3 linked regions of the Oryctolagus cuniculus genome follow. The protein of the gene in region 3 interacts with the protein of the main gene of each other region in a pairwise test. Links are inferred from orthologs where the notes say so. Each region holds a gene or a part of one and is shown on either strand. Other genes may lie near its edges.

Region 1 (3,920 bases), on a different chromosome or scaffold from region 3:
AGGAGGGCGCCCAGCTCCTGTTCGCCGGAGCAACACGATGCCCCCTAACCTGGGCAATGCAGGGCTGCTGGGGCGGATGCCGGATGAGAGGGCCCCACCCTCTCCGTCAGGTAGGTGCCTGGCCTTGCCGTCCGCGCAGCCCGCGGGGCCCCGTGACCCTGCCCTCAGCCCTGCCCTTCCCTCCAAGGGCAACCCGAGGAGCCGGGGATGGTTCGCCTGGTCTGCGGACACCACAGCTGGATCGCCGTGGCCTATACCCAGTTCCTTGTCTGCTACAGGTGCTCAGGGAGGGGCCGGGAGGTCTGAGCCCCATGGACAGGGCGGGCGTGAGGGCAGGGGTGATGGCGTCCCCCATTCTGCAGGCTGAAGGAAGCCTCCGGCTGGCAGCTGGTGTTCTCCAGCCCCCGCCTGGACTGGCCCATTGAGCGCCTGGCGCTCACAGCCCGCGTGCCCGGCGGCGCCTTGGGCGAGCACGACAAGATGGTGGCCGCGGCCACGGGCGGCGAGATCCTGCTGTGGGCCCTGCAGGCAGAAGGCGGTGGCTCGGAGATAGGTACGGCCCCAGGCCTTTTCCAGAAACTTCTTCCCCTCAGACTCCCGCGGCCTGTGCACCAGTCCTCTGCCGCCTTAGATCTCGGGCTCCTCGGGGTGCTCCGGCCATTAGCATGCCTGAACGGCGCGGGAAACCCACATGCAGTTCCCGCCTCCACCAGGCGCCCCCTGCCTTGTCAGGTCCCCGCCTTGCCGGAGCGCTCCAAGCTCGCAGAGCCCGGGTCTGTCCCCATGAGGAGTCTCCGGCTTGCGGGACAGGTCTGCCTGTTGGCGTCCTCAGAGCTGGCGGCTCCTCGGTCCCTGGAGTTCTTCCTGCAGTGTCCTCCCCCCCCTCCCCATCCCCCACCCCTGCCCCGCCAGGCACCCCCGCTGAGCCCTCCTTGCCCTCCGCAGGGGTCTTCCATCTGGGGGTGCCGGTGGAGGCCTTGTTCTTTGTCGGGAACCAGCTCATCGCCACGAGCCACACAGGGCGCATCGGGGTGTGGAACGCCGTCACCAAGCACTGGCAGGTAGGCCTCCGCTAGCCTGGCTGCCCCCGCTTCCAGGCTCTGCCCTGCAGGGACCTGGCGCGTGGGTTCCCTTCTGTGCCCTCCCTGGGGAGAGAGCCCGAGAACACAGCAGTGGGCCAGAACCAGGGGATGAGTGTGATGGCAGCCTAAGGAGCCTCAGGGAGGCCAGAAATACAGTGTGGAGGAGAAACTCGGAGCACAGGGACAGAGCCACCCACGCCCAGGGGTCGCAGGAGAACAGCTGGAAACAGGCTGGGGAGGGTGTGTCTCCAGGGGCCCTGTCCCGCCCACCGCAGGTGCAGGAGCTGCAGCCCATCACCAGCTATGACGCGGCCGGCTCCTTCCTTCTCCTGGGCTGTAACAACGGCTCCATCTACTACGTGGGTGAGCAGCCCCCACCCCCCAGAAACAGCAGGGGGAGGGCACAGGGAGGGTGTCGTGAGTGAGCCTGCCACGGCCCCCTGCCCCACGGGGAGGGTGCCCTGAGTAAGCCCGCCACGCTCCCCTGCTTGAGGGAGCCTGCCACACCCCTCAGCCCCACAGGGAGGGCGCCCTGAGCCAGCCTGCCACACCCCCCTGCCCCACGGGGAGGGCGGGGAGGGCGTCTTGAGGGAGCCTGCCACGCCCCTCAGCCCCATGGGGAGGGCTCCCTGAGTAAGCCCGCCACGCCCCCCTGCGTGAGGGAGCCTGCCACGCCCCCCTGCCCCACTGGGAGGGCTCCCTGAGTAAGCCCGCCACGCCCCCCTGCGTGAGGGAGCCTGCCACGCCCCCCTGCCCCACTGGGAGGGCGCCCTGAGTAAGCCCGCCACGTCCCCCTGCGTGAGGGAGCCTGCCACGCCCCTCAGCGCCACGGGGAGGGCGCCCTGAGCGAGCCTGCCACGTCCCCCTGCCCTCCCAGACGTGCAGAAGTTCCCCCTGCGCATGAAAGACAACGACCTCCTGGTCAGCGAGCTGTACCGCGACCCAGCGGAGGACGGGGTCACCGCCCTCAGCGTCTACCTCACCCCCAAGACCAGTAAGCTGAGACCCCGCTGCCCTCCCTGCTGGAGCCCCGCCTTGGCCCCGGCCCCGCCCGCAGCTGTCTTCTCCCATGGGTGTGGCCTTAACAAAGGGGGCAGGATCCAACCCTCATGTAGTCGCTCAACAAACACCCACTGAGCGCGCCTTGTGTCCCAGCTGTTCTAGGCGCTCCTGCAGGGGCGCCATGGCCCCTGGGGCCCCCTTTGTATTTCTTTCCCATCTCTGCGAGGGGGCGTGACTTTTGCACGTCCACATAGCACAGGGTAGTGCATTCTACAGGGGACAAAGCTGTGATCTCTTACTTGAGAGTTTTTTGGTTGTTTTTTGGTCGGTTTCTGTTTGAGATTAAAGTCCTAAGACGTAACGTTCACACTTTTAAAGTATATTCACAAGGTTGTACAACAACCGCCACTGTCGAATCCCAGAACATTCTCATCGCCCCCCGTGGGAAGCTCCTACCCGTTAGCCGTCACCCCCTTCCCCGCTCCCGACAGCCTCTGGGAACCACTGGTCTCCATCACGTTCTGTGGATTTGCCTGTTCTGAGTGTTTCATGTAAATGGAATCAAAGGCTGTGGCCTTTCGTCTGGTGTTTTTTGCTTAGCATAATACTCGTCCATGCGGGTTTTGTTGGTTGGTAGGTTTTGTTACTTGAAAGGCAGAGAAAGAGAGAGCTGCCATCTGCTGCTTCTCTCCCCGAATGCCCCCAGTGGCCGCCGGGGACTGAGTCCAGGAGCTGGGAACTTAGTCCAGGTCTCCCACATGAATGGCAGGGAGCCAACTACAGAGTCGGGAGCCAGAGCCGGGCATTAAACCCAGCCGCCTCCCATGGGGATGTTGGTGCCGACCCGTGCCTAACCCCCAGGCCCACTCCCCACTCCCAGTTGTTTGCTTTTGTTTTTTGTCACTAGTGCTTTCTGAATCTTCAGATGTCCTTACCTACCCGCGGGCTGTATTCCCCAGTGTTTTCTTCCAGAAGCTTCTCGCTTTAGCTTTCACACACGGGTCTCTCCCATCTCTACCTTGACTGTGGGGTGTGAGGTAGGGGTGTGAGTTCACGTCTCCCAGCAGGAGAAGGTTGGCTGATGACCCCAGCTTCAGGGCGTGCGGCCTTTACTCCATGTGAGGCGCTCATTCCTACACTCACTCCGTTCCTCCCACTGCGTGCCACCATTTCCAGGCTTAACATGTCACCTTACAGGGTAGGCGTCGTGGGCGCGTTTTGGCACGGGTCACGTGGCTCCGCTTCCGTCTGCCCTGGGCTCGCTCCCTGTCCGCATTCCCACGTGTCGCCCTAACCCACAGCTGTGCCTGCTGCACACAGTGTTGAAACCTCCGTCAAATTTCTGAGAGTTGCAAACTATAATTCTTCCCTGGTAGAAAGTGCAGGGCTGGGAGTCCCTCGGGCCGTCTGGGTTCCATTTTCTTGTCTTGTTCTCCGTGTTTCTAGGTCTCTTTCTATGTTTATCTCTGTAGTTCCATCCCCGGGTCTCTGCCTGTCTGTCTCTCTGATGTCCTTCCTGCATGTCCCTGTTTCTCACGTTCTCGCTCTCTGTCTCCGTCATTAGCCGTTTCCGTCTGAGTTCCCATCTCTGCATCTCTCTCTCTGATCTGTGCCCTTCGCACCCTCCTCCTCCTCCGTCTCCCGCATCTTCTCTCCCTTCTTCCCAGCTCGCCCTCTCCCTGTTGCGTGGTTGTTGCTCGCTCTCCGTAACGCAGGCCCTCCCTGCAGGCGACAGCGGGAACTGGATCGAGATCGCCTACGGCACGAGCTCCGGGGGCGTGCGGGTCATCGTGCAGCACCCCGAGACGGTGGGCTCGGGGCCCCAGCTCTTCCAGA
Region 2 (3,920 bases), on a different chromosome or scaffold from region 3:
ACCAGTGTCTTTGCTAATGGGTAGCAGAGCCATGTTCATTTAGCACAGTGTCCAGCACACTTAGTAGGTCCTTAGGAATGTGTTGAATGCACAGATCTCATAAATCCAGGGAACAGTTTGCTGCCCTGAAAGCTAGTTCTGAGTATTCTTATTTTTTTGACAGGCAGGAGTGGACAGTGAGAGAGAGAGACAGAGAGAAAGGTCTTCCTTTTGCCGTTGGTTCACCCTCCAATGGCCGCCGCGGCCGGTGCACCACGCTGATCCGAAGGCAGGAGCCAGGTGCTCCTCCTGGTCTTCCATGGGGTGCAGGGCCCAAGCACTTGGGCCATCCTCCACTGCACTCCCTGGCCATAGCAGAGAGCTGGCCTGGAAGAGGAGCAACCGGGACAGAATCCGGCGCCCCGACCGGGACTAGAACCCGGTGTGCCAGCACCGCAAGGCGGAGGATTAGCCTAGTGAGCCGCGGCACCGGCCTGAGTATTCTTGGTGTGGGGGTGTCAGCCACCTGTGTCTGGACTCCTGGCCTTTCTTTGGAGAGTTCTCCATGTTCAAGGCCTAGGGAGGGAGGCTGCACTTGCTGGAGCTTCCTCAGGACACAGCAGGCAGTGTGCCGAGAGCCCAGGACTGTGGGTTGAACACTGTCTTAGGATCTCATGACTGAATTTTTAAAAATATTACACACTTTGATCTATATCCTGCTAAAAGTAGGTTAAAAAATTAGGATAATTCAAACACCCACATTCACCTTGACAAGCTTTCCTCTTAAAACATGATGGGACGAACAAACATTGTCTTCCACATGGAGGGACAGCACGGGCTTGGACCCTCTGTTCCTCCGGGGCTGCCCACTCCTCTCTGGATGGCTGGGATCCTTCAGGAACTCCACGATCTGCCGTTTACAGGCATTTCCGGGCTGTCCCCTTTGTAGGACACTGAACCTTCTCCCAGGCTTCCTTGCTGAGGTGGCCTAGGGGAAGCTACCAGCACCTATCCGTGGCTGTTCCATTTCCTACCACATTAGTTTCCAAGAGAAGGCTCCTCCAGTCTCCAGGAGATCCACTTCCTACCAGAAAATCCATGTCCTACCCCTGGTGTTTGAGAACTCTCCTTCCTGGCCACGTCTGAGTTGCGGGCCAGTCTCCTGGGGCACACACACCCCTTGCTCTCACCCAGCCCTTCCCCCAAGGTCGGAAAACCAATCATCAGAGATGTCACAGCCTGATGCCTTGCGTAGTTTTCCAACTCACACATAATTTGGAAGGCAATGCTTTCTCCAGCAGTCTGGATGCCTCATTATTATGCAGAAAAGCGTCTACAATTCCTCTTCCTCCACCCTGTCCAGACCCTCATCTTCTTCCCTGTCCAATTTTAAATCGCAGCGTCTGAGCCATCTGGGAATAAGAGTAGGGGCCATTGTGGGGACTGGCACTCTCTCTGACAAAGAGGTGCTTTGCCATTGCTGTTCCATTTAGAGATAGATTAACTCCTTATCTAAGAGTCCGCTCTACCCTCAATTTCCAATGAGGCAGGAGGCGAGGCAAGGATTAATCTCCACCTTGCATAAATACAGGCAATTGACGACCTGTGTGCACAATGGCCAGGCCACATGATCTGACAAAGGATTTACTTCTTCTGAGTCATGATTCGTTCTCATTAAGTCCTACAAAGGCATTGAAATCAGGCTGCTCTAAGCATTTGCTGCAGACTTAACGAATCACCTTTCCCGAGGAAGGAGGAAATTGCACAGATCTCCCAGGAAATCCAGCCAGCTCAGTCATCGTAGCTTCATGATATAGACTTGAGTTAATTATGAAAAATGTCCAATTCCTTAAAGTAACAAAATTCAAAAAAAAAGTCCTGCACATCACAGCCATGTATCCTGGTGAGGCTGAACTGGGCGAAAGGCAGAGCTGAATGTCAAATGATAATTCCTGCTAAATAATTCAGGCCCTGGGAACTCTGATATTTTACTTAACGTTAATGAGTATAATGGGTGCAATTAGAGGCTGCTGCTTCTCCGCCCCCCGTGCTAGACACAGATGTACTCCGGCCTCCATGCGGGCTCCACCTGTCTTGGGGTAACTCCTTCCTGGATTTCAGCTTCTGCCATTAGTAGACACTAAATAAATGGATGTTGAAGTCAGCCACTGAGCATGCTTTGCCAGTGACTATCATGGAGAGAGAGAGAAAGAGGTAGCAGAACAAAAAGGAGACAATTGTAGCCAGTGCTGTGGTGTTTTGGGTAAAGCCGCCGCTTGTAGTGCTGGCATCCCATATGGGTACCAGTTCAAGTCCCGGTTGCTCCACTTCCGATCCAGCTCTCTGCTATGGCCTGGGAAAGCAGTAGAAGGTGGCCCAAGTGCTTGGGCCCCTGCACCCACATGGGAGACCCAGAAGAGGCTCCTGGCTTCGGATCGGCACAGCTCTAGCCATTGTGGCCAACTGGGGAGTGAACCAGCGATGAAAGACCTTTCTCTCTCTCTCTCTTTCTTTCCCTCTCTCTGCCTCTCCTTCTCTCCCTGTGTAACTCTTTCAAATAAATAAATAAATAAATCATAAAAAGAAGACATTTTCATAAGCTAGTCTGTTTGCAAAAGGAAAAATTAAAAAAAAAAAAAGAAGTCTTAGGGCTTAGGTTTCTCTCTAAGGTTATTTTCTCTTTCTTCCCACACAGGGAAGTGACGCCGATCTGGTGGATAAAAACAAATGCTGCACTCTCTGTAACATGTCCTTTACCTCTGCCGTGGTGGCCGACTCGCATTATCAAGGCAAAATCCACGCCAAAAGGTTAAAACTGTTGCTAGGAGAGAAAACCCCATTAAAGACTACAGGTATGTGTGTCAGCGATCATCCCCGGGGGGAGGCACCAGCAACCGAAAGCTGTGCCAGCCACGTGAATCACGCTGTCTCCTTGCAGGCGGCATCAGGGTCTGACGGCATATGTCACCCACGGGGCGGGAGGGGGGATGGGCGGGGGCGCCCCCGGCAGCGGCTGCTGTCATGGATCCTGAGGTCCAGGGGCTCATTTGGTCTGTCTGAGGGCTCCTGTAGGTTAGCGATACAGCAGCTTGCGTCTATGGCACGGCTGTTTACACGGTGCAAGGTGCTGTCTTCTGTCTGTTCTGTATTATGCGCTCTGTTATAGCTATTGTGTCCTTCGCTGGATGGATTCCGTCTGTGAGCAGCGTGGATAATGGAGAGCGTATTGTGTGCGTGTGTGAGAGAGGCAGACCCCCTCCCAAGCTCTGCAGAAGAAAGGCTATTATTGTCACCTTGTTCTTACCTTGAGTGGGTGGGTGAGGGAGTCGGTAGGGGTTGGCAGAAGAACAATTGTCATCTTAAGAAAAAAAAAACAACCACTTTATTTTGCAGAAAATGCGATTTTTTCCCCCCAACAGGCGTCCCTGTCATCTTTGCCTTTACCGGTGACAGATGAAAGTTTAAATATTGATAGCAGATTATTTGACCTTCCGATGGCTTCGCTTAAAACATTCTGCAGAGGTGTGTAAGTCGCGAAGCTGAGGATGCTGTTCTGATGCCTTCGAGACGGGGTTTGTCTTGTGGCCAAGGTGCTACTAGAGTGGGGGTGTTCGTCATGATGTCTGCTCTTTCAATGCAATTAAAATTTGGCAATGCATTTTTTGTCTCCTTGTCTAATGAATCGTGCATAAATCGTGGGTGTAATTATTTTTTAAGTGGTATTTTGGAAATCAGAGGGAGTCTCAAACAATCCTTGGCTATTATCCTCACCAGTGTTTTTCTTAAGGAAAACGTCTTGTTTCACCCAGAGAAGAGCAAGGGATCTTTGCACTCTTCTTTTACTTATTTATTTTTTTCTACTGAGTTTAACGAAGGAATGTTGTTTTCATAAAGGTGGCTTTGACATTCAGGCACACAATGGGGGTGTAAGACACATGACA
Region 3 (3,920 bases):
GGACACTTAACTATCAAGTGTTTGCTTTCTCTACTATTTGAATTATATTGGCATAGTTTTAAGAATACTGTTTAGAGATAATGTATTAATGGAAATACATGCTTTAAATGATATAATTCAGACTATGTATGAATTTACATAGGGGAAATTATATAAAAATTGATAATCTTTAGGTTATTTAGGCTGATTTATGAGAAAACTCTGTAGAAACCCAATAAATACCTTCTGCATTTTAAAGGAAAAAAAATCATTCTTATTAATTACAGATGGAAAGCCAGAAATTTTTAGCAGAGAACAGTGCTTCCGTATATATAAAGAAAGTAGAAGCTAGAATTAATGAAGAAATAGAACGGGTGATGCACTGCCTTGACAAATCAACTGAAGAACCAATTGTAAAAGTGGTTGAGAGGGAACTCATTTCCAAGCACATGAAGACTATAGTAGAAATGGAGAATTCTGGTCTAGTCCATATGTTGAAAAATGGAAAGACAGAAGGTAGGTGTGTTACCAGTTGAAAATCAGTTAAATTCATATATGACCTATCAATTTTTTTATTCTTCTGCAATTAAAGTAGATTATAAATGTCGGTTTTCAGGAAGTTGTGGTTTGTGTCATTAATTTATTACCTTGTTACTTTCTTTTTTACAATTTTAGGTAGTTCTAGTGAATTGAATGACTTTTCTTTTTCTCCTATCCCTCAAGTCTCCTCACTTTGTTTTTCTTATGTGGACAGTAAGAGGTTTAATAATATTGATGTGACTCGTAGTTGAGCTCCTTATTCATTTCTGTATTTTATTTTTATATAGTGGTGGATTTGGCTACTTACTATGCCCATGTACTCTCAAGTTTTTGTGATTCTTTTAAAATCTGAAATCCACATTTTAAAATTTCTGTAGGATTTTCTGTGGAACTTAATTTTGATAAGTGAGCCAAAATGTAAAAATAAGTTTTTTTAAATTATTAGTAAAATACATACAGGGATATGTGTGATTCCATTATACATATTTCTCAAATGTTGTTAGTACTTGTTGACTTGTAATTTCCTATTAATGAAAACTTGAAACTTTACAATTTCAAACCAACTAAATTATTGAAGGTGAAGCTAAATAAAAATACTGACATATTTAGGAAAACTAATAGATTGGTTTGGAGGAACTCTGAAGTGATAGACTGGTAGAAAAGGAGTAGAAATTACAGAAATTAAAGGTAAGCATTTTTGACCTAATTGTAACATTTATTCTTTAGGGCTTTTTTCTTCCTGTTTAAAAAAAAAAATATTGAGCAGCCTAGGAGAAATATTAGAAGTAGAACAACAACAATCAAAGGATCTCATTCTTCTAAAATTTAAATTTTTCACTTTCTAAACTACTGATAATGGTAATAAACATAAGTAAGCATGATTTATTCTTGCTTTCTTTCCTTGATGAAATCTTAGCAATAACTTAGCCATTTATCCTTACTAAAGGAAATACATGTTTCCTATTGGGTTCATGACCTAAGAAGCAGGGAATGAAAAACATCTTTATGTGAGAGGCAGAGAGAATGCCCCCTTCCTGCTGATCCCCAGATGTCCAAACTTGCAGGAGCTGAGCCTGGCCTGAATTGGGAACCGGGAAATCAATCTAGGTCTCCAACATCATTTGCAGGAACCCAATTAGTTGAGCCATTCATTACCTGCTACTTCTAGAGTACATTTTAGCTAGAATTGGAACTGAGAGCCAGAACCCAGATATGGGCATGCCAGCTGGCATCTTAACCACTCGGCTAACCACCTATCCAGGAAACAGTTTTTCAAAGAAGAGTTGCAAAGGGAGGAAGGTGCATAAGAAAGGAAAAGAAAACTGATAGGAGGAGGGGATTACTCATCTTTTTTTTTTTTTTTTTTTTTTTTTTTGACAGGCAGAGTGGACAGTGAGAGAGAGAGACAGAGAGAAAGGTCTTCTTTTTTTGCCATTGGTTCACCCTCCAATGGCCGCCGCGGCCGGCGCACCGTGCTGATCCGATGGCAGGAGCCAGGTACTTCTCCTGGTCTCCCATGGGGTGCAGGGCCCAAGGACTTGCGCCATCCTCCACTGCACTCCCGGGCCACAGCAGAGAGCTGGCCTGGAAGAGGGGCAACTGGGACAGAATCCGGTGCCCCGACCGGGACTGGAACTCAGTGTGCCGGCACCGCAAGGCGGAGGATTAGCCTAGTGAGCCGCAGCGCTGGCCCATCTATTTTTACTAGTGAAATTCTTGCCTTGTGTTTTTTAATGGTTACATTTCTGTATATGTGACAAATTCATAAAAGTTGTATGTAACTTTGTTGTTTTTATTAAATTTTATTAAATTAAATATCTTAATAAAAGATATTAAATCAGAAACTTCTAATAGGATTTGTCTGATAAACTTGTTTGGTAAAAGCAAAAAAACAAAACAAAAATCATGTTTTAGTTTGTTTGCCATGTTTTATAAAATAAGGTACTCTTGTAACGTTTAAACCGGGGATAGGTGAAGTTCTTTTGGTAAAGGACAAGCTAGTCAATATTTTAGGCTCCGAGGCTATACATTCAATTACTCATCTCTGCTGTCATAGTGAGGATGTAGCCTTAGACAGTAACTCAAATGAATATGCTTGACTGTGTCCGTATAAAACTATTGGATTTTCAGATGTCACTAAATATTTTTCTTTTAATATTTTCTGCAACCATTAAAAAATGTGAAAACCATTTTTAATTTATGAGCTGATCAAAAATAAGTGCCAGCCTGTATTCAGTCCACAGGCTGTAATTTGATGAGCCCTGGCTGAGTAGGACTTTATGAAAAGTGAGAATGATTGTCTATATTAACTGATGTACTATTCAAGGATTGATTTAGTGCTTTCCTGCTTACCTTTAGAATGTGTGGGGAGAGGTGATTAAATACTCAAAAGATTAGGGCTAGGAAATGTTTGATGAAGAGATTGTTGGGATATTCCTGAATTAATACCATCTCTATAACCTGCATGGAGACTTGTGTTAAAGGTATTAATTATGCCTAACATACTTACTTAATGTTTTCAGCAAGTATTTGTGACTCTAAATTAAATTTTTCAATTTTGCCTTCAATTTATTTGAACTGCTGCTGGAAACCTAATTGTGAAATGTCTTAATTGTGGTAGGCCCTGCTCTTGAGCAGTATGTTGAAAGAATATCAGAGACACAACTTCATCATTATGAAGCCAAATTCTCATAAATCAGAAAGTAAAAGACAACTTTGTCACTGTGAATGGAAGATAAAGTTGGATTATTAGATGCAGACAGCACTATGAAATTAAGTTCAAATGGTATCTTTTTATTGTCTTATTAAGTGTATATAGAAATAATGATACTTGATTTTTGAATTTCAAATATTTTTCATTAACTTTTCCATTCTCTACTACCTCATACATTTAAATGAGTACAGTGAAAGTATCTCATACAACATGCAATATCTAAATAAAATTTATAACAACACAAAATACTCAAGTGGGCAACTATTTTGTTAGAGGTATTTATGTCAAATTTACTATTTTACATATTCATAAATAGCTATTGCAATTTTAACACCTATTTTTAAAAGGCGTAACATTTGTATATTCATTATTTGAAAGGCAGAGAGAGAGAGCGCGATCTTCCATCTGCTGGTGCACTCTCCCTATACCGGCGGCAACCAGGGCTGGGCCAGTGTGAAGCCAAGAGCCCAGAACTCCGTTTGAGTATCCAGTATGAGTGGCAGGAACTGAAGTATTTGGGACATTATCTGCTACTTTCTCAGTGGCATTAACAGGAAGCTGGATCAGAAGAGGAGGAGCCAGGACCATAATAGGCACTCAGATAAGATGTGTAGGAATTCCCAAACAGCGGTTTAACCCTCTGTGTCACAGTACCCACTCCCAAAATGTCTATTTTTCATACAGGAAT

What was found.
Region 1: the proteins of CUL3 (region 3) and SHKBP1 interact in binary tests that used the Homo sapiens proteins (3 or more experiments, as listed by UniProt). The link is inferred for Oryctolagus cuniculus from reciprocal best matches to the Homo sapiens genes CUL3 and SHKBP1.
Region 2: the proteins of CUL3 (region 3) and ZMAT4 interact in binary tests that used the Homo sapiens proteins (3 or more experiments, as listed by UniProt). The two-hybrid records come from large-scale screens. The link is inferred for Oryctolagus cuniculus from reciprocal best matches to the Homo sapiens genes CUL3 and ZMAT4.

What each region holds. Positions count from the first base shown.
Region 1 is NC_091449.1:13,777,275-13,781,194, reverse strand, and holds part of SHKBP1 (SH3KBP1-binding protein 1), read left to right. Parts: coding exon 1-110; intron 111-187; coding exon 188-278; intron 279-362; coding exon 363-553; intron 554-945; coding exon 946-1,061; intron 1,062-1,357; coding exon 1,358-1,445; intron 1,446-1,959; coding exon 1,960-2,076; intron 2,077-3,812; coding exon 3,813-3,920.
Region 2 is NC_091433.1:91,224,116-91,228,035, reverse strand, and holds part of ZMAT4 (zinc finger matrin-type protein 4), read left to right. Parts: intron 1-2,674; coding exon 2,675-2,831; intron 2,832-3,920.
Region 3 is NC_091434.1:14,714,295-14,718,214, forward strand, and holds part of CUL3 (cullin-3), read left to right. Parts: intron 1-266; coding exon 267-495; intron 496-3,920. UniProt on the Homo sapiens protein: Core component of multiple cullin-RING-based BCR (BTB-CUL3-RBX1) E3 ubiquitin-protein ligase complexes which mediate the ubiquitination and subsequent proteasomal degradation of target proteins.